7 linked regions of the Macaca mulatta genome follow. The protein of the gene in region 1 interacts with the protein of each later gene in a pairwise test. Links are inferred from orthologs where the notes say so. Each region holds a gene or a part of one and is shown in the gene's direction. Other genes may lie near its edges.

Evidence for each region.
Region 2: the proteins of LZTS2 (region 1) and TNIP3 interact in binary tests that used the Homo sapiens proteins (3 or more experiments, as listed by UniProt). The two-hybrid records come from large-scale screens. The link is inferred for Macaca mulatta from reciprocal best matches to the Homo sapiens genes LZTS2 and TNIP3.
Region 3: the proteins of LZTS2 (region 1) and MAB21L3 interact in binary tests that used the Homo sapiens proteins (3 or more experiments, as listed by UniProt). The two-hybrid records come from large-scale screens. The link is inferred for Macaca mulatta from reciprocal best matches to the Homo sapiens genes LZTS2 and MAB21L3.
Region 4: the proteins of LZTS2 (region 1) and MORF4L1 interact in binary tests that used the Homo sapiens proteins (3 or more experiments, as listed by UniProt). The two-hybrid records come from large-scale screens. The link is inferred for Macaca mulatta from reciprocal best matches to the Homo sapiens genes LZTS2 and MORF4L1.
Region 5: the proteins of LZTS2 (region 1) and POLDIP3 interact in a two-hybrid assay, tested with the Homo sapiens proteins (2 studies listed by BioGRID). The two-hybrid records come from large-scale screens. The link is inferred for Macaca mulatta from reciprocal best matches to the Homo sapiens genes LZTS2 and POLDIP3.
Region 6: the proteins of LZTS2 (region 1) and RAD51D interact in binary tests that used the Homo sapiens proteins (3 or more experiments, as listed by UniProt). The two-hybrid records come from large-scale screens. The link is inferred for Macaca mulatta from reciprocal best matches to the Homo sapiens genes LZTS2 and RAD51D.
Region 7: the proteins of LZTS2 (region 1) and STAC interact in binary tests that used the Homo sapiens proteins (3 or more experiments, as listed by UniProt). The two-hybrid records come from large-scale screens. The link is inferred for Macaca mulatta from reciprocal best matches to the Homo sapiens genes LZTS2 and STAC.

What each region holds. Positions count from the first base shown.
Region 1 is NC_133414.1:113,067,078-113,070,577, forward strand, and holds part of LZTS2 (leucine zipper putative tumor suppressor 2), read left to right. Parts: coding exon 1-633; intron 634-1,945; coding exon 1,946-2,203; intron 2,204-2,957; coding exon 2,958-3,500. UniProt on the Homo sapiens protein: Negative regulator of katanin-mediated microtubule severing and release from the centrosome. Required for central spindle formation and the completion of cytokinesis.
Region 2 is NC_133410.1:129,984,752-129,988,251, reverse strand, and holds part of TNIP3 (TNFAIP3-interacting protein 3), read left to right. Parts: intron 1-2,218; coding exon 2,219-2,347; intron 2,348-3,500. UniProt on the Homo sapiens protein: Binds to zinc finger protein TNFAIP3 and inhibits NF-kappa-B activation induced by tumor necrosis factor, Toll-like receptor 4 (TLR4), interleukin-1 and 12-O-tetradecanoylphorbol-13-acetate.
Region 3 is NC_133406.1:124,151,810-124,155,309, reverse strand, and holds part of MAB21L3 (protein mab-21-like 3), read left to right. Parts: intron 1-2,174; coding exon 2,175-2,466; intron 2,467-3,500.
Region 4 is NC_133412.1:57,080,683-57,084,897, forward strand, and holds the start of MORF4L1 (mortality factor 4-like protein 1), read left to right. Parts: upstream 1-1,415; 5' UTR 1,416-1,495; coding exon 1,496-1,535; exon of another isoform or gene 1,536-1,605; intron 1,606-1,687; exon of another isoform or gene 1,688-1,880; coding exon of another isoform or gene 1,881-2,172; intron 2,173-4,215. UniProt on the Homo sapiens protein: Component of the NuA4 histone acetyltransferase (HAT) complex which is involved in transcriptional activation of select genes principally by acetylation of nucleosomal histones H4 and H2A.
Region 5 is NC_133415.1:8,869,453-8,873,457, forward strand, and holds the start of POLDIP3 (polymerase delta-interacting protein 3), read left to right. Parts: upstream 1-1,205; coding exon 1,206-1,264; intron 1,265-4,005. UniProt on the Homo sapiens protein: Is involved in regulation of translation. Is preferentially associated with CBC-bound spliced mRNA-protein complexes during the pioneer round of mRNA translation. Contributes to enhanced translational efficiency of spliced over nonspliced mRNAs.
Region 6 is NC_133421.1:44,622,762-44,624,952, reverse strand, and holds part of RAD51D (DNA repair protein RAD51 homolog 4), read left to right. Parts: intron 1-126; coding exon 127-217; intron 218-346; coding exon 347-417; intron 418-2,191. UniProt on the Homo sapiens protein: Involved in the homologous recombination repair (HRR) pathway of double-stranded DNA breaks arising during DNA replication or induced by DNA-damaging agents. Bind to single-stranded DNA (ssDNA) and has DNA-dependent ATPase activity.
Region 7 is NC_133407.1:12,066,823-12,070,322, reverse strand, and holds part of STAC (SH3 and cysteine-rich domain-containing protein), read left to right. Parts: intron 1-1,780; coding exon 1,781-1,862; intron 1,863-2,919; coding exon 2,920-3,035; intron 3,036-3,500. UniProt on the Homo sapiens protein: Promotes expression of the ion channel CACNA1H at the cell membrane, and thereby contributes to the regulation of channel activity.

The sequences.
Region 1 (3,500 bases):
ACAGCCTTCAAGCCAGTGCTGCCCAAACCTCGAGGGGCTCCGTCCCTGCCTAGCTTCATGGGTCCTCGGGCCACCGGGCTGTCTGGGAGCCAGGGCAGCCTGACACAGCTGTTTGGGGGCCCTGCCTCCTCCTCCTCTTCTTCCTCCTCCTCTTCAGCTGCTGACAAACCCCTGGCATTTAGTGGCTGGGCCAGTGGCTGCCCATCAGGGACGCTATCCGACTCTGGCCGAAACTCACTGTCCAGCCTGCCCACCTACAGCACCGGAGGTGCCGAGCCAACCACCAGCTCCCCAGGCGGGCACCTGCCTTCCCATGGCTCTGGGCGAGGGGCACTGCCTGGGCCAGCCCGAGGGGTCCCTACTGGGCCCTCCCACTCAGACAGTGGCCGGTCCTCCTCCAGCAAGAGCACAGGCTCCCTGGGGGGCCGTGTGGCTGCCGGGCTTTTGGGCAGTGGTACCCGGGCCTCCCCTGACAGCAGCTCCTGTGGGGAGCGCTCACCACCACCCCCGCCTCCACCTCCTTCCGACGAGGCCCTGCTGCACTGTGTCCTGGAAGGAAAGCTCCGAGAGCGGGAGGCAGAGCTTCAGCAGCTGCGGGACAGTCTGGACGAGAATGAGGCTACCATGTGCCAGGTGTGGTCAGAGGCAATGATGGGGAAGGGGCATGGCAGGACATCCCAAGGCCTGGGGAATGAAAGGGGCATTTCCATTTTAGCAGGGAAGAGGGGTTGGGTAGTTGTAGTTGTGACCCCCCTGCCCTCCCCACCAGTTGTCTGGTTTAATTTGTGGAATAGCCAGACGTGGTGGCTCACATCTGTAATCCCAGCACTTTGGGAGGCCGAGGTGGGCGGATTGCTTGAGCTCGGGAGTTTGAGACCAGCCTGGGCAACATGGGGAAACCCCATCTCTCCTAAAAATAAATTAGCTGAGTGTGGTGGCATGTACCTGTAGTCCCAGCTATTTGGGAGGCTGAGGTAGGAGGATCACTTGAGCCCAGGAGGAGGAGGTTACAGTGAGCTGACATTTTGCCATTGCACTCTAGCCTTGGGTAACAGAGCAAGACTGTATCTCAAAACAAGAAACAAAAAACAAAACTTGTGGGGTGGAAAGGAGTCAGAGTGCATGGATTCAAACCTCCCACTGCTAAATACCAGTTTTTGGACTTGAGCAAGTTGCTTAACTTTATTCAGCCTCTATTTCTTCATCTATAACAGGGATATTTCTAGCTTCATAGGATTGTTATGAGGATTAAATAAGGCAAAAGGTGTAAAGTGCTTAGACTAATGCCTGGTATCTAGGAAATGCTATACATAAATGCTTGCTTTTTTTTTTTTTTTGAATTTTTAGTAGAGACGGGGTTCCCACCATGTTGGCCAAGCTGGTTTCGAACCCCTAGCCTCAAGTGAGGCACCCGCCTCGGCCTCCCAAACTGCTGGGATTACAGGCCTGAGCCACTGCACCCGGCCAAGTGCTTTTTTTTTTTTTTTGAGACAGGGTCTCATTCTCTCACCCAGGCTAGAGTGCAGTGGCGCGATTTCGGCTCCTTGTAGCCTCAACCTCCTGGACTCAAGCAGTCCTCCCACCCCAGCCTCCCAAGTAGCTGAAACTACAGGCACACGCCACCACACCAAGCTAATTTTTGTTCTTTGGAGAGGCAAGGTTTTGCTGTGTTGCCTAGGCTGGTCTCAAACTCCGGAGCTTAAGTGATCCACCCACCTCGGCTTCCCAAGATGCTGGGATTACAGGCGTGAGGCACCGAGCCCGGTCTGCTTGCTCTTGTGTTTGTTTCTATGATCATTATAAAAGCAGTTAGTATTGTTGCAATTACTATTGTTGTTTGATGGAATACACCCTTCCTGAGCCCTCAGAAGTGGGCCGCCAGGCAGACACTGAGTGGGGAGTTGGGAAAACTGCCCAGGAGCTGGGTCTGTCTTCTCGCCTGCAGGCATACGAGGAGCGGCAGCGGCACTGGCAGCGAGAGCGCGAGGCCCTGCGAGAGGACTGTGCAGCCCAGGCACAGCGGGCACAGCGGGCCCAACAGCTGCTGCAGCTGCAGGTGTTCCAGCTGCAGCAGGAGAAGCGGCAATTGCAGGATGACTTTGCACAGCTGCTGCAGGAGCGTGAACAGCTGGAGCGGCGCTGCGCCACCTTGGAGCGGGAGCAGCGGGAGCTCGGGCCAAGGCTTGAGGAGACCAAGTGGGAGGTGGGCCAGACCAGGAGGGGCAGGGAGCAGGGTCACACAGGGAGAAACCCTGGAAAAAGGGGCCCAGCCGCACCCTCCCTCAGCCTGCCACCCCCAGAGGTCCTCCCCTTCCTCACCTCCGTGAGATGAAGTTCTCCTCTGTTCCTTTCTGGGAGGAGGGTCTCCTTGTTGGCCTTGTCTAGTGGCACAAAGCCACGCTCCAGCCAGTAGTAAGAATGTGGTGTTTGTGGTGTGGAGGCACTCTTCTAAGCATGTTACATGGGACAGATCATTTCATCCTTATAACAACACTGAGGGGGCTACCACTAGTCTCCCCATTTTAGAGATGAGTAAACTGAGGCCCAGAAAGACTGGAGTGCCAAATCTGAACCCAGGCAGTCTGGCTCCAATATCTGAGCTCTTAACCAAGTCACTGTAGTACCTCTCCAGTAGACACCTGGGTACTGCCCTCCATTGCCCCCACTCCTGCAGCACCTGCCAGCACCCAGTCCCCAGGGCTCGGTGGTACTTCCACAGTGTCTCGTGATGCTTTGAAGACACCAACTTTGAAGCAAAAAAATCTATGTCTGCTTTCCACTTAAGCCACATCTTCACTCTATGACCTTGGACATGTCACTAGACTTGCCTCAGTGTCTCCATCTATAAAATGGGGATAAAGATGGACTCTCCTCCCGAATGCCCAGCATGATGCACAGGGCCTGTCCCCCCAGGAGAACCTGTCTCACCATCCTTCCCCACTGCCTCCCACCCCCAGGTGTGCCAGAAATCAGGCGAGATCTCCCTGCTGAAGCAGCAGCTGAAGGAGTCTCAGGCAGAGCTGGTGCAGAAGGGCAGCGAGCTGGTGGCCCTGCGGGTGGCACTGCGGGAGGCCCGTGCTACCCTGCGGGTCAGTGAGGGCCGTGCGCGGGGTCTACAGGAGGCCGCCCGAGCTCGGGAGCTGGAGCTGGAAGCCTGTTCCCAGGAGCTGCAGCGACACCGCCAGGAAGCCGAGCGGCTGCGGGAGAAAGCTGGGCAGTTGGATGCTGAGGCGGCTGGACTCCGGGAGCCCGCTGTGCCACCTGCCACCGCTGACCCATTCCTCCTGGCAGAGAGTGATGAGGCCAAAGTGCAGCGGGCAGCAGCCGGGGTTGGGGGCAGCTTGCGGGCCCAGGTGGAGCGATTGCGGGTGGAGCTGCAGCGGGAGCGGCGGCGGGGTGAGGAGCAGCGGGACAGCTTTGAAGGGGAGCGGCTGGCCTGGCAGGCAGAGAAGGAGCAGGTGATCCGCTACCAGAAGCAGCTGCAGCACAACTACATCCAG
Region 2 (3,500 bases), on another chromosome or scaffold:
ACAGTCATCCCCCAGGCCCTTCCAGGAAGAAGAAAACCGATCCATAGATTTGCTGACTCTCTAGGGCATTTCAGCCTAAGAGAAAATTATTTTTTTTCTTTTGCTTTTATTCGTATTTATTATTTTTATTAGTAGTGTTCATAATAATAATATGGCAGTACTTTGTATTTGTGCAGTAGCTTTTCAAGCTTACAGAGAGATTTACATATGAGGTTTTACTTCTGTAACCATAAATTTATGACATTTTTAAAAGGCCTCATCCTCATTATCTCATTTAACATTCTCGGCCCACCTGTCAGCAAAATAATTATTTTTGCTATATTAAAGATGAGAAAGCTGAGATGTAAACAAATTGAATTGCCCACATTGATAAAAAGGGACTGGAACCCAACCTCCAGATTCTAAAGCTCCATCAGTCCCTTGCTGAGAACTGGATGGTGTTGAGATGACAGCTTTTCCTAAAAAACACTCTTTTTGTCCTGGTTTTACTTTCCATTATAGGACTTCATGAATATTGTAGAAAAAGGGAGAAAACCTTAAACTCTAATGGTCCCTTGTTATTTTAGGTATAGTAAGAAAAAACAAAGTGTAAAGACTCTGAGGGAATGTCTTATTACTGATATCGTGAGGCATTGGCAATATTTTAAAACGTAGAAATCTTAAGGCAATGTCTAAAATTAGCACAGACAATGCCAGTCCAGGTTTTCCTACCTTGCTGAGGATGTCTTTGTCACAGTGAGTCAGGAAAGCAGAGTTTAGCAACACTCCCTTTCTGCCATGTAGCAGTCATTTCCTTTTCCAATTACATCCTAGCCAGGAATCTGAGTAATTTTTCCCTCAATGCAGTTGGGACCATTTTCTCATTGGAATAATTTTCTCTTAAATTATGCTAACTTAGAAAATAATTGGCTTATTTTCTAAGTGTATATGTTCATTCTATTTAAATAAAAGCAAGTAGAAATATTTTCCCTTTTAAAGAAAATGAATTACCTAAAGCGGATTTCTTAAATTTTGTAATCATATTGGGAAATATGAGTTGCTCAAATAATACACTTTAACACATATATTAGTTATTTCTGCATGTTGAGTTACCTATTTTCTGCAATATTTATTTTACTGGGTTAAAATCTCAATCTCACTAAGAATCCAATTTACTTCACAAAATGTTTGCTATCTGTTATACAAAATTAAGAGGTGGGAGATATTGTCTGAATCCAGAGCCTGTTGATGTTTAAGCAGCTAACCTTCAGTTGTTTAAAACACTGCACTTCTGGATGATAATCTAAAACATGGAGAAGTGGTGGCAGTTGGACTAGTTGATTTCTCCCTTTTAAAAATAATAATCACAACAATAGAGTGCTCTAAATAAGATCTGTAATGAAGGGTCTTATTGGCCTAAAGATTATTCTCTTTTCCCTCTTTCTAATACAGAATGATGCAGGAATGAGCTTTGAGACATTTCGGATTGTTTTCTTACAATGACAGTAAGAAATAGCTGAAAGCCTTTTCTTTCTGCCATTTCAGCTATGTTTCTTAATCGCTTATCCATCACCTAGTAACAGTACATAGGGACTTGCTTATCCTGCAGACCCATTTATTTGACAATTGAAAGTAAGAATTGGGAATCCAGGACTTTGGGAAGCTGAGACGGGCAGATCACGAGGTCGGGAGTTTGAGACCAGCCTGGCCAACATAGTGAAACCCCGTCTCTACTAAAAAATATAAAAAACTAGCTGGGCCTGGTGGCAGACACATGTAATCCCAGCTACTAGGGAAGCTGAGGCAGGAGAATCACTTGAACCCGGGAGGCGGAGGTTGCAGTGAGCCGAGATCTCACCATTGCACTCCAGCCCAGGCGACAATGTGAGAATTCATCTTAAAAAACAAAAACAAAAACAAAAACAAAAACAAAAACAAAACAAAACAAACCAGAATTGGGAAATTTGATTTTTTTTTTCCCCTGGGGTCGCAAAATTTCTAAGATACTTCAGTAAATTCTGGTAAAAGAAAGATTCCTTCAATCCTAATTCTAGCATTCATCCAAAGAATATCGCTCAAGTGGGACGTTAAGTTAAAGTCTTGCAGGTCCTGTTTTTATTGTATTTCAGAAGGGTGACCCCTCAATCTGCCTGCCACGGCCGATATATCAGAATTCCTACAATATCATCTCGTTCGACTTGTACTGATTTTTCTTTTCTTTTCTTGGTCTTTACTTCAGAAGGAAAAGGAACGCCTAAATGAAGAATTACATGAATTGAAGGAAGAGAATAAGCTTTTAAAGGAAAAAAATGCTCTTGTGAACGAGGAGAAGGAACATTATGAATGTGAAATAAAACGCCTTAATAAGGTATCAGGCAGGTCAAGCATGGGATATTAAAATGAGAAGTCCCTGCATAAAACATTCTTACCGAGAGTCACAACAAAATCTAGGCTGCAGTGTGGGTCCCAGCTTTCAGGCACAAGAAATTAGCTGTGATTTTATAAATCACTCCTAGCTGCAGCTTTCAGCTATACTTGGCTAAGGAGGTTTTAGGGAATTTTTGTCCCTACAAAGATTCATCATGAAAAAGAGAAATGAGGAGGAATTATAGAGACAGTAAGAACGTTTCTTAGTTTGAAGAACCACATAAAGCAAGTGGGTGTTTGCGAACAATAACGTATCTCTTGGTCAACCACAAAAGCTTCCTCAGGAAACAAACTGCTCTTTAAAATGATCACTATGGAGTTGGGTGTGAAACACACTCTAAGGAAGCATGCTAAATGCTGAATCCAAGGCTGAGATGGTAGCTCTCTCAAGTGCAAGCCTAAAACCTACTTTAAAGTCAGGAAGAGGAAAGGTGTGCGCATGTGCATGCAGTGGTGTGTGTATGTTGTTTTATGGACTAGTTGGTTCATATTTTGGAGGAATGGGTCGCTAAATAGTTCAGGAAAAATAATCCTATACTGTTGACTTTTCCAAGAGCCAACCCATATGTGGAACATAGGAATGCTATAGCACATGGTTGAGTTGAGATACGCATCTCTCAACTAGATATTTCCCGATAAAAGAACAGAAATTGTCTTCTGAAACAAGAGTAGGTGATTGGACTTGAAACAGATGCTCAACCCCTGTATTTTGGGCCACATGCCCATGGTTCTAGTTAACTAGTGTTCAGAGATGTCATTTAAAGATCCTCAAATTATTAAGTATGTGCCTGCATAGCTGATAGGATGCTTTGCACATGTGATCCTGTAGTAGATCTGTTTGTGGGACAAGTTATTCTTCAGGAGAAAATTGGAAAGTGAGGATAAACTTCATAATACACTTTATCCTCTAAGAGAGAAAAACCATGCTCAAACATACAATGCAGGGCAAAATCTATCTTTTCCCTTTTGTTCTCTTCCAGAAAATGTTGCACAAATGCATTAGAGGAACTATAAACAATTGAGATTATATTTAAAATCCTCCCATTTTTGATACCATATTACAAGTTTTCTTACATTGTCTCATTTATAGACTG
Region 3 (3,500 bases), on another chromosome or scaffold:
TTCTGAATCATTCTGAATCTCCACCATTCTTTATCTTGATTTTTATTATGCCACATACCTCTTTCACTTTGTGTTAAATTTGTATGTACTCATGGCCCATTTCTCACAACAGACTGCACATCCCTTGATTGTAAGGACCATGTTTACCGATTGTTTTGCTCCTAGCACCCAGCATGGTGTGTGGCACATGGTAGACACTTAACATATGTGGAATGAATGAATAAATGAATGAGCAAAAGAATTAGTACCTGAACAAAAGACCATTGCTGGCCCATTACATCTCAAGTTTGGTGGATGCAAGAACCACCCAAGAGATGCTGGGATTTGTGGATTTTGAAACAGAGTCAGATTGTAGGAAATTAATCCCAGGGTGAAAAATATAAAACTAGATTGAATCCTGGAATGCTAGAGCATCACTTGCCCAACTCTCCCACCCAGGCCAATCTAACTTGGTCACAGTGACTGGAAATAGAGATATTACATTACTTTTCTTAGCACTACACCCAAGGAAATTTCCTTCCGTGGTCCTACTTAGAATTCATAGCTTAAAATATATCTTACATTTATATATGTCATGTCTTACATATTAAGTTTCAAAAATAGCTACAGCATAGCATATAAAATTGCTTTTAACTTAGATCAAATTCAACAAGTTTTTTTTGTTTGTTTTTTAAAGATAGAGTCTCATTCTGTCACCCAGGCTGGAGTGCAGTGGTGAGATCATGGCTTACAGCAGCCTCAACCTCCCAGGCTTAAGTGATTTCCCACCTCAGTCACCTAAGCAGCTGGGACTATAGGTGCAAATACCACCATGCCTGGCTAATTTTATTTTTATTTTTTTATTTTGTAGAGATGGATTTTGTCATATTGCCCAGGCTGCTCAACAAATATTTACTAAGCACCACTTACATGACTAACAACATGATAGTTCTGCTTTTGAATTCACATGAAAGTAAATTGAAATAATGTACAGATCGGAAATTCCAGGGACTTTGGATGTTTTTTTCCTGTTTTTACATCCAGCTACCTTTCTGTGGGTACCAGAAGTCATGTGGATACATCATCTAAAACATCAAACTATTGTTTTCTTAGAGTTAGGCAGATCCAGCTGGGGCTGATTAGGACATTCACCCCTCAATGGGTCAATGACTGGCCCTGGGCAAGAGTTAACCAAATTCCATGGTCAGAGCTTTCCGTGAGGAGGAGGCAGCTGACTCACAGCTGAAGGTGTGTGTGAAGTGGGACATGGTCAGAGTTCAGGCTCCTTTGGCTGCTCTGTTTACCCACTTGTTCTATCTCTTGGCTGCTGGTCTGCCTGCTTTCCCCCAGTCATTGCTTCACTGGTTCCTGGAGAAAGGGATTAGGCGGATTCTGATTGTTTGCTTTTTTTCTTTAAACTTAGAATTATCTCAACAGCTCACATTGTCTCAACAAATAAGCTTTCATTTTCCCTTTGATTTTGGAAGGGTTAGTCATGAACACTGACCATGGGTCATCAGTACAGGCCCCCCCAACCCAAAAATAGGAGACATTTTACAAAATCTTTTAAACTCCCTTTCTGTTACTTCCCACCTTTTATTTGTGTCAAAACATTCACCATTCCATGTCATTCATTGTTGGCTGAGTGCCAGCCCAGGGTAGAGAAATAATAACTGAACAAGCTGTCCAAAGACCTAAACTCGAATTCTGACTCTTCTACTTACTGGCTGTGTGTCCCTGGGGAGATCTCCAAGCCCCTCTGCATCTTGGATTCCTCATCTGGAAAATGGCAACAAAGCTCACCTTACTGTGTGATTGTGAAGTTGAAATGGTCAAATGCATTAGAATTGCAGTGTCGCGACTGCAGGGAACTCAATGCATACTCATTCTTCTTTCTCAAACTTTAGGCCTCCTCTGGAGTTCCTGGTCTAGCTCACTGTCTTTACTTGTATAGTCATAAGATAATAAACTCAGCGAGCTAATTTACTTGCCCAAAGTATTTACAGTGATTCAGTAGCAGAACAAAGAGGTAATCCACTTGTAACACCCAGGTCTATGTCTCTGTGTATCAGGTCACACTACTGAGGGTGGAGTGGTGAAGAGAGCTGCCTGGCGAGACAGGTCGGCTCCCAGGACTTCCGTTACCTCCCGAATCTGTGAATTCATGCTTGTTTTCAATCCTTTCCTGACCCTAGGTTTTGGCCCCCAGTCAGTTCCTTGTCACAGTCCCAATAAAAGGCCTGGCTGGGTACAGGGAGGCCAGGGAGCAGCGCTGGCGGTACTACACCCTGCAGGGCACCAGGCTGCCCTGCCCGTTGCGGGACCCTGAGGGTCTGCAGCAGTGGCTGGAGGTGGAACAGTTTATGAAGAGCCTGTGGCAGTGGCATGAGACAGACGTGAACATCGATGGAGACATTGTGCCCGCTAAGGTCCTCCTGGTGTTCCGGAAGCTGGTGGAAAATGCAATTAGAACCTGTCACCTCTCAGGTGAGCTGATCAGGAACAAGTGCAAGGGTAATTGCTGACATTCCCCTTTCGCTCTACAAAACCTCTGTTTGGGTGTTACCTGCAGCTCACAGCCTACATTTGAGAAGATAATCATGTGCTCTTCACATTTATTTAATCTTAATAAGATGAATCAGCTTTTTTCCCCTGCCGTTGATGCACAGAAGGTTGGAATTCATTCTAACAAAATAGTGTTGTGGCTTTGAGAAAGTTACTGTGCTGGCATAGATATAAAATGCTGTGGATTATGCACCTTAACCAGGCTTAAAAACTTAAGCATATTTGTTTTAAAAGCAAATTATTCACAAACCCCAGGTCTTCTTTATTAGTACATTTTTACTGCAGCACCTCCATGTGACTGCAGTACCACAGTGTGCTGAGATTCCACATTTGGAAACCACTAACTTGAACCAAAACAGAAAATCCAGGAGCCAAAAGAACTGACTAAATTTGACAAAGTCTTAAGCTACTGTACAGCATATGCCCACACACACACACACACACAAACACCTTTTTTGTTCACACAAAGTGAAAAGGTGAATTTCTAACTGGAAAGAAATGGCCAATTTTCTTAATTATATAATTAGGAAAATATAAATTTTCTTAATTTATAAACCAATAAGAAAAAAGATGAGCTGACCAATAGAAATAATTATCAAAAAAAAAAAAAAAGGAATCACAGAAAAAGAGTACAAATGGCTTGCAAAAATAAGAAAAGACATTCCATCTAATGTATATTTCAACATATATTAGAATATACCTCATGTTGGGTACATTAAAATACCTAACAAGTTAAAAGAAATGAAAAGTTTGATCATGCTTAGTGTCGAGTGGGCATGGTGAAATGGGTATTTTCCTGTTGTTATTAGAAGTGGAAATTGGTGTCTCCTTTTTAAAGAGAAAGTTGTCTATATTTTATTTTCATAATGTGCTCACTTGACAATTCAACAATTCCAGTTCTAGAAATATATTTCTACAAATTAAATTCTACAAATATATTCATAGATTTATAAATA
Region 4 (4,215 bases), on another chromosome or scaffold:
AAACAAAACAAAACAAAACAACAGGAAAATAAGGCAGGTTGGACAAGCTTGCAAGTAGCAGCCGTGACAAGATGGTGTATATTCAACTGGAATAACGAAGATTTTTGTGGGTTTCTGTTGTCGAAGAAGGGGTTGTGTTAAAAAGACTGAAGGAGAAATGGAAGTCAGAAAAATGGAGAGGGGCCCGGAAATGGTAGGGTGTGGAACCCGGGCAGGGGAGGGCTTAGAAAAGCCATGGAGGCAGGCTGGGCACGGTGGCTTGCTCCTGTAATCCCAGCACTTTCCGAGGCCAAGCCGGGCGGATCACGACGTCAGGAGTTCCAGATCAGCCTGACAACATGGTGAAACCCGGTATCTACTAAAAATACAAAAATTAGCTGGGCGTGGTGGCACGTGCCTGTAATCCCAGCTACTCCGGAGGCTGAGGCAGGAGAATCGCTTGAACCTGGGAGGTGAAGGCTGCAGTGAGCCGAGATCAGGCCACTGCACTCCAGCCTGGGCGACAGAGCGAGACTCCATCTCCAAAAAAAAAAAAAAAAAAAAAAGAAAGAAAAGAAAAGAAAAATATATAATATTGAAGAAATCCGTTTGTTTAGTGTGTGTACATTCAATCATGGCTCAAAAAATTAGATGACAAAAAAGTACAAACAGGGCAGGTACGGAATGCAGAGGTTGGCATATTCACACTAGCCTTTTGCGGATAGCAGAGCTCCATTATCTCAAAAAGCCAAAGCCTGACTAGTGTTTCCCACGTCATCTTCCTCATTTCCGCAAGGCCGGGACTGGAGAAGAGGAGGTAGACCTGGGAGCCAACAAATGGCTATCAATCCCACCAAATAGACTAGGCAGTGGGCTTGCTAAACAACGAAGCTTCCAGAAGCGGACCCCACTTCCCATCCTCTTGTGGCCACATTGCTGATCCTAAAGCTTTTCTATGCAAAAACTAGCGGAATGCTATTGAATATAGGTTTTCGAGGCAGCCCTATTCTCTCCGGCTACTTCAACATCAATGGGGGCTTATTTGCCCAAAGGACGTCGCAACTGGGTTTTTCCCATTTTTTCATCGCTGGTGGTTCACCGCCCCGACTCTCCCCCATTGCCCGCTCTGCTTTAACCTCCCACGTAATCAATTCCCCGCTTTACCAACCCGCAGCAGCCCGGGGGATGGGGAGTGGCGGGGGGGTGGGGAGGAGTGGGGTAGGGTAGCCGGCCCCTCCCCCACCCAGCTGCGCCTCCACCAACTAGAAACTACCAGTCCCGGCGTGCCCCGGGGCGGCGCGGGCGCAGGGGCGCGGGCGCGGCGGGTTGTCATTGGCTGGAGCAGCGGCTGCGCGGGTCGCGCTGCTGTGAGGTCTGCGGGCGCTGGCAAATCCGGCCCAGGATGTAGAGCTGGCAGTGCCTGACGGCGCGTCTGACGCGGAGTTGGGTGGGGTAGAGAGTAGGGGGCGGTAGTCGGGGGTGGTGGGAGAAGGAGGAGGCGGCGAATCACTTATAAATGGCGCCGAAGCAGGACCCGAAGCCTAAATTCCAGGAGGGTGAGTGTGCGCCTTTGGGAAAAAGGCACCTAACGGCGCAGGAGATGGAGGCGGGCTCGAGGTGGTTGAGGTTTGAGGGCCGGGGGTGGCTCGGGGTGCACCCTGAGAAGGCGGCGGATAGTGCTTTGTGCGGGGAAAGCGCATTGCGGATGGCAATTCCGATGCGTCATTGTGAGCGCTTTGTGAAGCGAGAGTGCTACGCAGGCGTTAGAGTGGGAGAGGGAGCGTTTGGCGCGTGGCACACCCTCGTCAAGTGTTTGTTATTGTTCTGAGGAAGAGGGCGCGGAGAGAGCAGCCTATTGTAGGGAGGCGACCAAGGCGCCATGGCGGCGGTTAGGGGAAGTGATGTGGCGGCGGGGGGAGGGGCGGCGGTGGTTTCTGGCTGTCCTGCAGCGCGCCCGGCCGCTTGGGCAGCCACGACCGGCGGTTAGGTGCTCCCTGGAGCCCCGGGGTGGTCGCGTTCGGTGGAGACTCGGAGCTGCAGATGGGGGTGGGTTTGGCGCCACGGGGCGGGAGAACTGCGTTGTAAAATGGCCGTTGCAACATGGCGGCTTCATCATGGCCGCTGGCGTCTCTGCCCCGTATGCAGGCGCAGCTTCAGGGCAGATGCAGCGCCCCCTTCCACGAAGACCGCAAGGTTGCCGGGACCCTTCGCTTACCTCAGAGTGGTGGGTGGGGACAGAAAAAAAAAAAAAGGATCAGTGGGATGAGCGTTTTCCTCCGCTTTGTGTTGCCTGGAGGCCTCATTCTGCTCTTAGGCGCAGTGCCAAGATCCTATGGTAACGTTAGTGCGCTCTCGCTTTGCAGTTGCTCGTAAAAAGTAAATAAAAATGATCTGAATGCAGTGTTAACGCCGTTTGCCTTTGTAAGTCCCATTGTCTCGACGTCATTTTTTAAATGCAGTAATTGTTTGATTAGTTGCAGTGTTTAACAGTGACTTGAAAGTTGAGTTTATTTTTATTAATTGGTTTTCGATTGGCATGAGGTTTGGCTAGGGTTAGACTGCCAGTGGAAGGCAGCTCTTTAAATTTTCACAACGCTTCAATTTATGTATAATAAGGTGGAGGTCTAATAGCTAAAAAGGAAGTAAAATCCTGTAAAAGGAGGAACACTCTAATATTCGTTTTCATTGCTATGGAAATTTATGCTAGTTACCGTAAATACGGTGTTTCCATGCGTACTATTTTTGTTCTAGGGATTTTTAGACTTGCATTAAAATTCCTTTTAGAGACATAAATCTTAAACCGTAGTACTGCGTATCTTATGGGATATTTAAGGGAGTTTTAGGGGTATTTTGTTAACGAGTGACTTTTTTGTTTTTTTATATATATATATATATATATATTTTTTTTTTTTTTTTTTTTTTTTTTTTTGAGACGGAGTCTCGCTCTGTCGCCCTGGCTGGAGTGCAGTGGCCAGATCTCAGCTCACTGCAAGCTCCGCCTCCCGGGTTTACGCCATTCTCCTGCCTCAGCCTCCCAAGTAGCTGGGACTACAGGCGCCCGCCACCTCGCCCGGCTAGTTTTTTGTATTTTTAGTAGAGACGGGGTTTCACCATGTTAGCCAGGATGGTCTCGATCTCCTGACCTCGTGATCCACCCGTCTCGGCCTCCCAAAGTGCTGGGATTACAGGCTTGAGCCACCGCGCCCGGCCTGTTTATATTTTTGAGACAATGTCTCACTCTGTCACCTAGGCTGGAGGGCAGTTATGGTACTCGGCTCACCTCTGCCCCCCGGGCTAAAGCGAGCCTCCCAAGTAGCTCGGATCACTGACGCGCGCCGTCATGCCCGGCTGAGTTTTGTTCTGTTTTGTTTTTAGGGGTTTTTTCTTTCTTTGTGGGTTTTTTTTTTTTTTTTTTTTTTTTTTTGTATTTTTGGTAGGGACGGAGTTTCATGATGCCCAGGCTGGTCTTGAAGTCTTGGGCTCAAGCGATCCACCCGCCTTGGCCTCCCAAAGTGGGAGGATTACGGGCGTGAGCTATCGCGCTCAGCCGTGTGACTTTTAATACCCTTCTCCCACCTTGAGAATCTGTGACTCTACCTCCTATGGATTCATTATTTTACTAGACGTTTTAGAGCAGATATTCTTAGTGCATTCAGAGGGTCCGTGAAATTGAATGAGGAAGATGTGTTTTTTCTGTGTACCCAAGTTTAGTTTTCAGTTAACAGTGTAATTCCTCCCCCCAAACCCCGAAAAAAAACGCCGCATTAGTATTTTCAGATCTCAGCATTACAGTTGTGGAAGATGTTTTCAGTTATCAATCATTCTCGTTTCTTCAAAATTAGGGTAGTTGCTGGATGACTAGCCAAGTCTTTGTCCTGTAATGTCATAGAACGTGACATTTAAAATGTTTTGGTGTTTCGATACAGTCGGTTGCCTTTGTACTACTGTGTGTTTTATGTATTTATGAAATCATTCGGCTCGTAGGCTGTATCAGACTGTCAAGGCACAAAAAGTTAATCGCTTCTGTAGGAACAGCCTAAGGTTGGCTGTTTAAGGAAGCGCTTTAGTTCTAGAGGGTTGCTAGTTAAGAGGGGAATAGCAGCAGAGAATTCCTTGTGCCTTTTTTTTTTTTTTTTTGAGACGGAGTCTCGCTCTGTCGCCCAGGCTGGAGTGCAGTGGCCGGATCTCAGCTCACTGCAAGCTCCGCCTCCCGGGTTTATGCCATTCTCCTGCCTC
Region 5 (4,005 bases), on another chromosome or scaffold:
TGATTGGACAAATATGTGCCGAACACCTACCTCATGCCTGGCGCATGCTGGAGGCTGGGGTTGTATCAATGCAAAAGTCATTCCCTGTATTTAACACTTAAATGAATTAGTCTCTTTAACTCTCCCAACGCCCTATAAATTATTTGCTCCATAATACATATTAGGAAGACAGAGGCAGAGAGATGAAGTGCTTTGCTCGTGACGGTCACGCCGCCACCGGTCACGCCGCCACCGGGACGCGAGACAGGCAGTCGTCCGGCTCTCACCCCCAAGAGCACTACATTATAAGGTAGCAAAGTGAAGACACGCTGTCATTAACTGAGCTGCTGTGTGAGGCCGGGGACGGACATATCTTTCTGAAGCACAGAGAAGCGGTTATACAGGGAAGTTTGGGAGAACTGGGTTAAGTCCGCATGTATGGAAATTGCCAGTTTCGTGGGTCACAACGTCAATATTGTGGGCAACCTTGGACTGACTCAATGCGCAGTTGGAGACAGCGACGAAGTGCAGAGCGTCCTCAGCCGGTGACTAGACTCCCTAGGAACTGGCGGCGTTGGCAGGAGAAGAAAACAGGCATGAGAACGCACCCACTGTGCACCGGAAACAAACAGAAATTGCGCCACCCCGCGCCCAGTCTACTTTTCAGATGTAAAGGAATCGGGCAGATCGCAACTCCCAGGCATCCCGCAAAGTAGGCGGGTCACCTTAGGGGCGACCTTTACCCGCTCAAAAATTCGTCTCACATTAGCAGTGAGGATTCGGGCGTCACCCCGAATCGTTATTTTCCTTACTCATAAGTTTAAGGCATAAAGAAACAGTAACGCTTATTTCCTAGGTAATGAATCATATTCTCATTTGGCGTATGATGAGTATCATAGTTGACCGTTGAGGTAATGATCCACTTCCATTGAAGTTTGTCTTACTCGTTAATGAAATTATTTTGTTGCTTTTCATTTAATGTTTTTTCTTCGGAGAGAATAAATAATTCATAATGTGCCGACCTTCTGTATGCAGATGAGCAGCCAGCTCCGCGAAGGCTCACGGGGAGCGTCCCCGCCCCTTCCGGTTCTTGCTTGCGTTTAGCTGGCTGTCGCGAGAGTTGGTCGGCGGACGTCGGAAGTAGTTCGTCGCTCTGTAGCGGCCGAAGGGGCGGGCTCGCGGGCTGGGGGTGTCTCGGCAGCTTTCGGCTCGCTCGGCGGAGCAAGATGGCGGACATCTCCCTGGACGAACTCATCAGGAAGCGCGGGGCGGTGGCGAAAGGACGGTGAGAGACCTTTCTTTTCTTCGGGGTTTCGGGTCCGCGGCATAGTGGAGCTCGAGGCGGGGGAGGGAGCGGCCCGGGCGCGACGCGGAGGACCGGGTGCGCCCGCCCCCAACAGCAGCCGCGCTCCTCATTGGCCGGGCCGCCGCCGTCGCCGCAGCGGCCCCGACCGCCCGCCCACTGGCCGAGGTGCAGTCCCTCCGGCGGGCCTGGGAGGCCGACGGGGCCGCGGCTGGACAGGGTGCCGCCTCGTGGACTTGAGGGGCTGCACCCTAGGGCCCCCGCGTTCCGGGGTCCGGGAGTCTCGGCGGTGCAGCCCCCTGGCCTGTCTGGACTGGCATTTGGGCCCCGCTCCGTGATCTCGGGGCTGCTTGGTCTCCACCTATCTTATAGTTGAGGCAACCGAAGTTTAGCAGCAGGGAAGTGACTTGCTCCGACGGCCGAAGCTGAGGCGCAAGCCCAAATCCCCGTCCACGCGGCCTCTGTTAACACTCGCCTCCCTTTGTGCGGCGTCTTAAGTTTTCTAAGCCTGTTCGTATAAACGATGCCTCGTTTGATCTTTCACGGTCCTGTTGTCTGCTAGCAATTCATGTTACTCCACTTTTACTGATGGGGAACTTGAGGCTGGGAGTGGTAGAGTGACTTGCCCGAGACCACGGAGAACTGAGCGGCGGGGCTGAGTGCGATTTAATTGCTGGCTGAGTTGGCCTCCTGCATGGGCTTGAAAAACAAGTGGGCTGGGCTGGAGATTGGTTATTTCCTTAGGGAGAAGAAAGTGCTTGAGCTGGGTGAGGAGCCATGGAGGTGATTTGCAGTCATGTCTCCCAAACTTCCCCATGACCGTTAAATGTTATTAGTCATTTCAAGTCTTTGTGAGCTGAGTTCACCTGTATGAAGAAGTGAGAACTTTGCCCAATAGTTTCCCAACACGCATTAAGTTTAAGTCTTTGTAAATAGCCAGGATGTAAATATGTTAGATACTGTTTTCTCAGACATATGTTTTCTCAGCAGATGTTTATTTTTATTTATTTTTTGAGACGGAGTGTTGCTCCGTCGCCCAGGCTGGAGTGCAGTGGTGCGGTCTCTGCTCACTGCAACCCCCGCCTCCCCGGTTCCAGCGATTCTCCTGCCTCAGCCTCCCGAGTAACTGGGACTACAGGTGTGCACCACCACGCCTGGCTAATTTTTGTATTTTTAGTAGAGACGGAGGTTTCACTATGTTGGTCATGCTGGTTTCGAACTCCTGACCTCATGTGATCTACCCGCCTCGGCCTCCTAAAGTGCTGGGATTACAGGCGTGAGCCACAGGCCCGGCCATTCAGCGGATGTTTATTCATATCACCCGTGTGCCTGTGGCTAGGTTTTTCTCTTGATGTCTGAAATGTATCCCTCACCTCCTTCCCCATCTGGACACTTGTATCAACTACAACTGCCACCACCACCTGGTAATTCGCAGCCAGCACTTACCGGGCTTCTGGTTCATAACGGGCATGCATTAGTATTTGTTTCCTCAGCTACTGACTGCGAAAGCTTTCTCACATCTCCGCCTAGTGTCTGATGTGAAGTTGGCGCTGGCTCCTCTGGCCACTTCTAAATCCATCCAGGTTTTGTAGGTTCCTTTGGAAACGACAGAATGATTGACACCAGGTTCTTCTCTCTCTGAGGTCACTCCCCCAGTTTCTGACTACAGGTGGACCGCACTGTAGTCTATTTGATCTGTACGGTTTTGGCTTTAGTGTGTGCAGAGTTTTGTGTTGGGCAGTAGGTGGGGCTGCAGGAATGGGGTGAGGGGTATGTGTGGATCCACAGGAACAGGGGCCTTGCAGTTGGATATACCTGGCACGTGAAACAGTTGGGTTCTGTTTCCCTGGCCAGGGGACTTCTAAACTAGGCAGTTTCCTCATTTGTAATGGTGATTCCTGGTTGAAGGAATTAAATGTGAGAAAGGTTTTTTTTGGTTTTTTTGGTTTTTTGTTTGAGACGGAGTCTCGCTCTGTCGCCTGGGCTGGAGTGCAGTGGCCGGATCTCAGCTCACTGCAAGCTCCGCCTCCCGGGTTTACGCCATTCTCCTGCCTCAGCCTCCCCAATAACTGGGACTACAGGCGCCCGCCACCTCGCCCGTCTAATTTTTTGTATTTTTTAGTAGAGACGGGGTTTCACGGTGTTAGCCAGGATGGTCCTGATCTCCTGACCTCGTGATCCGACCGTCTCGGCCTCCCAAAGTGCTGGGATTACAGGCTTGAGCCTCTGGACCCGGCCGGGTTTTTTTTGTTTTTGTTTTGAGATGGAGTCTCACTGTATTGTCCAGGTTGGAGTGCAGTGGCACAGCCTTGGCACACTGCAACCTCTGCCTTCCGGGTTTAAGCGATTCTGCTGCCTCAGCCTCCCAAGTAGCTGGGATTACAGGTGCCTAACACCACACCTGTCTAATTTTTGTATTTTAAGTAGAGATGGGGTTTCACCATGTTGGCCAGGCTGGTCTGGAACTCCTCACCTCAGGTGATCCACCCCCCTCGGCCTCCCAAAGTCCTGGGATTACAGGCATGAGCCACCACGGCCCGCCAGAAGGTATGTTTTAAAGTTTGTGCCATGTGGCAAGTGTTCAGCAAAGGCTGGTAATTATCTTGAACCTTTCCTTAAAGGAATAGAAGCACACAGTGCCCCTGGAGCATAGGTGAGCACTGGGACTCTGGAGTCACCGTCAGGGTTCCAATCCCCGCTTCTCCCACTTTCCGTAGAACCCT
Region 6 (2,191 bases), on another chromosome or scaffold:
TGCAGCCTGCTGTATTTGGGATGAGGGGGGCTATTTCTTACTAGTTTTAGATAGAAAAGCAAGCTTGTCCTGTAATGTGTCCTAGAGGCCAACAGGTTCATGAGTGCTTCCCCCACATTCCTTTAGGTGACTGGTTCTTCAGGGACTATGAAGGTGGTGGTGGTGGACTCGGTCACTGCGGTGGTCTCCCCACTTCTGGGAGGTCAGCAGAGGGAAGGTGAGTGATGTGGCAGAGCCTGGGGCCAGTGGAACGTGACCTCGCCTCCCAGCTCTGGAGTCTGGTCTCTGGCCAGTCCCGTCCCTGGTTTTCCACTGCCCTGCCTCTCTGCTTCTCCTCGTCCTGCAGGCTTGGCCTTGATGATGCAGCTGGCCCGAGAGCTGAAGACCCTGGCCCGGGACCTTGGCATGGCAGTGGTGGTGAGGAAGCAGACTTGGCCAATGAACTTGATTTCTAGTTATTGCTAGCTCTTTATTTCCCTTAAATGTCAGCTTCTGAACCCCAAAGTGGCCCTTTAGGAAAGGGACATATTCCAGCTTCCCTGGGTCAGCTACAGCTTTGCACCATAAATAGCTACGGGAATCAGGAATTGTCTTGTTGTTTTTTTGTTGTTTTGTTTTGTTTTGTTTTCCTACATTTTTTCTTTTTAGAAAGGTTTATTGAGGTATAATTTACATAGAGTACCTTTCTCCTTGTCTGAAGTTTGACTAATGGATATAGTTGTATCCAGTCTTGTGACCCCACCAAAAGGTCCCCCAGGCCCAGGCAACCACTGATCTGTTTTCCATCCCAATAGTTTGGCCTTTTCCAGAACTTCATATAAATGGATCTTTTTGCTATTGAAGTAACTTTTTCTGCTTATGAGGTAGTTTTTTTAAAGTCTGCATGCTTCTCATAGAAAAGATAAAAAATAAATATAAGATTCAAATTTGTCATCAATCTCCATATCCACAGAAACCATATTGATATTTTTACATATCTCCATACAATACTTTTTCTACATATTTACTTATACTTTTAGTCAACTTTCTTTTTTTTTTTTTTTTTTTTGAGATAGGGTTTTATTCTGTTGCCCAAGCTGGAGTGCGGGGGCACAATCACAGCTCGCTGCAGCTCGACCTCCCGGGCTCAAGCAATCCACCCGCCTCAGCCTCCCAAAGTGCTGGTATTACACGTGTGAGCCCACTCTTAACCAGCTTTCTAACTAAACTAACCTCATGAGAAAAAAAAAAAATGGGCCAGGTGCAGTGGTTTATGCCTGTAATCCCAGCACTTTAAGAAGCCAAGGCTGGTGGATCACTTGAGCCCAGGAGTTCGAGACTAGCCTGGGCAACATGGAAAAACCCCACCTCTACAAAAAATAGAAAAACTAGGTGGCCTCGGTGGCAGGAAAATTGCTTGAGCCTGGGAGGTCGAGGCTGCAGTGAGCTGTGATAATGCCACTGCACTCCAGCCTGGGCAACAGAGCAAAACCTCATCTCAAAAACAAACCAAAACAACAACACAAAAAATACCATCTGAGTCCATTTCCTATGTTTTAAAATATATTTTTTACAAATGTAATTTTTAGCAGCTATATATTTTTTTCCAACTTCTCTTATTGTGGTAAAATACATATAACATAAAATTTACTACCTTAACTATTTTAAGGTATACAGTTCGGTGGTGTTAAATACATTCATGACGTTATACAACCATCGCTACCATCCATCTCTATAACTCTTCACCTTATAAAACTGAAACTCTGTACCCATTAAAAATAACTCATTTCTCCCTTTCCCAGCCCCTGACAACCACCAGTCTACTTTCTGTATCTATGCTTTTTGACTACTCTAGGAACCTCATATACATGGAATCATATGGTATTTACTTTTTGTGACTGGCGTATTTCACTTAGCATAATATCCTGAAGGTTCATCCACTTGGTAGCATGTGTCAGAATTTCCTTCCTTTTAAAGACTGAGTGGCCGGGCGTGGTGGCCCACGCTTGTAATCCTAGCACTTTGGGAGGCTGAGGCTGGTGGACTGCATGAGCTCAAGAGTTTGAGACCAGCCTGGACAACATGGCGACATGTGCCCCATTGCCTTCTGGTTTGGGTCGAACCTGAGGCATCGAGATTTAGTGGAAAGAGCAGGGCACAAGTCAGGAGGCCCAGGTTCTAGTTCCAGACCTGCCATTAGGCTTTGTAACTT
Region 7 (3,500 bases), on another chromosome or scaffold:
AGAGTAATAAATATCAGCACCAATTTAACAGAATCATGTTGGCCAAACCAAGGGAGATTGAATGGCCCTTGAGATGGCTGATCATACCATCTCAGGAGGATGGGCTTCAGTCCTGGTGCCACATACTGATTAAGAAGCAATTCAAGTCTGGCACAATGGCTCACGCCTATAATCCCAGCACTTGGGATACCAAGGTGGGTCGATCGCTTAAGCCCAGGAGTTCGAGACCAGCCTGGGCAACATGGTGAGACCCCCGTCTCTACAAAAATTTAAAAATTAGGCCGGGTGCGGTGGCTCACACCTGTAATCCCAGCGCTTTGGGAGGCCAAGGTGGGTGGATCACGAGGTCAGGAGATCGAGACCATCCTGGCTAACATGGTGAAACCCCGTCTCTACTGAAAATACAAAAAAAAAAAAAAATAGCGGGATGTGGTGGTGGGCACCTGTAGTCCCAGCTACTCAGGAGGCTGAGGCAGGAGAATGGCATGAACCCAGGAGGTGGAGGTTGCAGTGAGCCAAGATCGTGCCACTGCACTCTAGCTTGGGCGACAGAGCGAAACTCTGTCTCAAAAAAAAAAAAAAAATTTTAAAAATTAGCTGGGTGTGTTGGTGTGTGCCTGTAGTTTCAGTTACTCAGGAGGCTGAGATTAGAGGATCACTTGAGCCCGGAAGGCAGAGGTTTCAGTAAGCCAGATTGCACAACTACACTCTAGCTTGAGTGACAGAGCTAGAACCTATCTCAAAAATTTTTTTTCAAAAAGCAATCCAGAGCAGAACACAAATTTGAGGGTATTTGAAACTAGGATGGCCAAAGGATTGTAAAAAGTACCAAGAATGTCTACCCTAGAGAATAATTAGACAGGACATCAACAGCTGTCTTCAAAAAATTTTAGGCCTAAAGTTTAGAAGAGTAACTCTATTGTCCTTTGAGGCTCCTGGGGAAAGGCCTAACATCAGTGGATACTAAGTCTTAGCGATAAAAGATCATGTCTTGCCTCTAAGGTTAGTGAATGCTCCTTCACCCTCTACCATCAGTGACAGTGTACTGACAAGGGACACCACTTTCCAGGAACATTACAGAGGATTCTGGAATTCTAGCAGGGACTGGGCCACCAAGTTCCCATCCAGTGGTGGCGTATAGTGAGTCCAGGTTCTTAGTTTATCTATTTACTCTGATTCGCAATGTCTCTTTTCTCAAACTTCTGCCTCCCCTGCTTCCCCTTCTCCTTCTCCAGTGGTGATTCCCATAAGCCAAGACAGACCATGAAGGAGAGGTCGGAAAAAGAGAGAACAGAATCCAGAACACAGAGCAAATGATTCTGGGTAAAGCTCTTCAGATATACAAGAGCTTTTAGGCCTCCCTCTGAGGTCTACTTACCCACGCCCAGGCCTTTCTTTTATTTATATTATTTTAACAAACCACAATAACCAACTGTGGTGAAATAATATGTGGCAGTCCGCTTGTAATCCAGGAGGCAATGAGGATCTGGGATACAAAGGAGGCTGCAGTGCCCTGCAGAAGGAGGACAGGCAGGACTGGGGAGGTCAGGGCTAGGACCTTGTTTTCTGGATAGAATGTAACTTGCTTGTTGCCACTATTCCTCCCTGCCTCTGTGTCCCTGCTGGGGTTAAATTGTGGAATTATAGGATAAATCAGCATGTTAATGGGAGACAGGAGGGTGCTCCTGGAGAAACCAATTGGTTTTATTTAGGGAGCTCTTGTATGATTTTCTCCATCTGCCTTGACATTAACCCCTTGCCTTCCTCATTCTCTCTCCAGCCAAAGGGGTTTCGGCGTTACTACAGCTCCCCCTTGCTCATTCATGAACAGTTTGGCTGCATTAAAGAAGTTATGCCCATTGGTGAGTCGGGACATTGATGGGTTGAGTTGAGTTTGAAGCAGCAAAGTTAGTAATGGCTTCCTCCCAGGGCTGCAAAACCCGTGGGGTATCTGTGTACTTGTTTGGTGGCTGTTTGGGGTATGACTGTGTGTTCTGCTGGAAGGGAAACATAAAGTGGACCAAATTCTCCAGGAATTTTCATCCTTTCCCTGATGAAGCTCAGAAAACACCTAAGTCCCAAAGGCTTAGTAATCCCACCGTCAGCAACATGGTGAAGTGGAAAGAACACAGAGCATGGCATCCCCCAGACCAGATTCAAAGCCCAGCTCCCTATTGACAACTGCGTGTCTTTGAACAAGTTACTTGACCTGTCAACCCCCACAAAATGAGAACAGCAATTGCTGCGTTTCATAATTGCTATAAAAAATAAATATAGGTTATACACCAATGCTTAGTAGGAGCTCAGTGAATACATTATTCTCTAATGAAGATCAAAAGATACCCTATATTTATTGATAGCTTTGGCTTGGATTTCTTCTCTAACAATATTTTTCAGTTTACTTCTATTATTTTTTTTCTCTCTGAAAATCTCGACATCTATTTTTGTTTTTTCAGGGGGGCAAGTTTTAAACTAGAAATTTGTAAATTAGAAAGCTTTCAATTAGAAATTAATGAGGCTCAGTAGTGACAAGTTATTTCTAAAACAGTTGCCTCCTACTGCAAACTTTGTGTCTCAAGGCTTTGTACCTTGGTGAGCACAGCCTCCCAGTAGAGGAAATAAAGCTGGTCCCTGTAAGAACCTGGAAATTAGAGAGGAGTAATGAAAGAGGAAATCCAATCAGGAAGAATTTGGGAGCAGAGTACTAGTTGGTACATGGCAGGACCTGCAAACGGGAGCATGCTGCATGGGGGCGCATCTGTGAGGAACACTTGGCCGTGAAAGCCCCGTCTACACAGAGGCTGAGGTCCTCTGCACAGAGCCTGCTTCTCAGGTGCTGTTCACCCAGGAGATGTGGTAAGCAGTTGGCTGGGTCCTCTCAGATGAGCTTCCTCAGATGAACTTTCTCTTCTGTTGCAGCCTGTGGCAATAAGGTGGACCCTGTCTACGAGACCCTCCGCTTCGGCACCTCCCTGGCCCAGAGGACAAAGAAGGGCAGCTCCGGCAGTGGCTCTGACTCACCTCACAGAACCTCTGTAATTATCCTCTTCCTTCCTCAGTTTGTCTATGGCGGTCCTGGGCAGAGTGGGCCTCAGGACTCCAGTATGGGGGATTCCACCTAACTGCCTCATGAGCACAGGTCTGCAGGGAGTCAGGCACCTGCCAAAGAGAAACCCAAAGTGTTTTGAGCCATTAAGGATTAACTTCCTGTTGTCAACACCCAGGGATTATTTTACTCTCCTGCCCAAAGACCATCCCCTTGGCCTCATGTTTCTTGACCCTTCCCGTGGACCCCCTCTCCTTTACCTTCCCACCAATATTAGATAACAGATGAGTCAACACACATAAATGTTTGGCTCAAACAATGGTCAGGAACTTGGAAGTCCTGGCTATTTCCAGTTTTCCTTTTAGCTACATTCCAATTCAAAGACACAGCTATTTCTCACATCTTTTGTCTTTTCTCTGTAAGAGAGGGCACGCCTCTTGATTGCACACAAAAC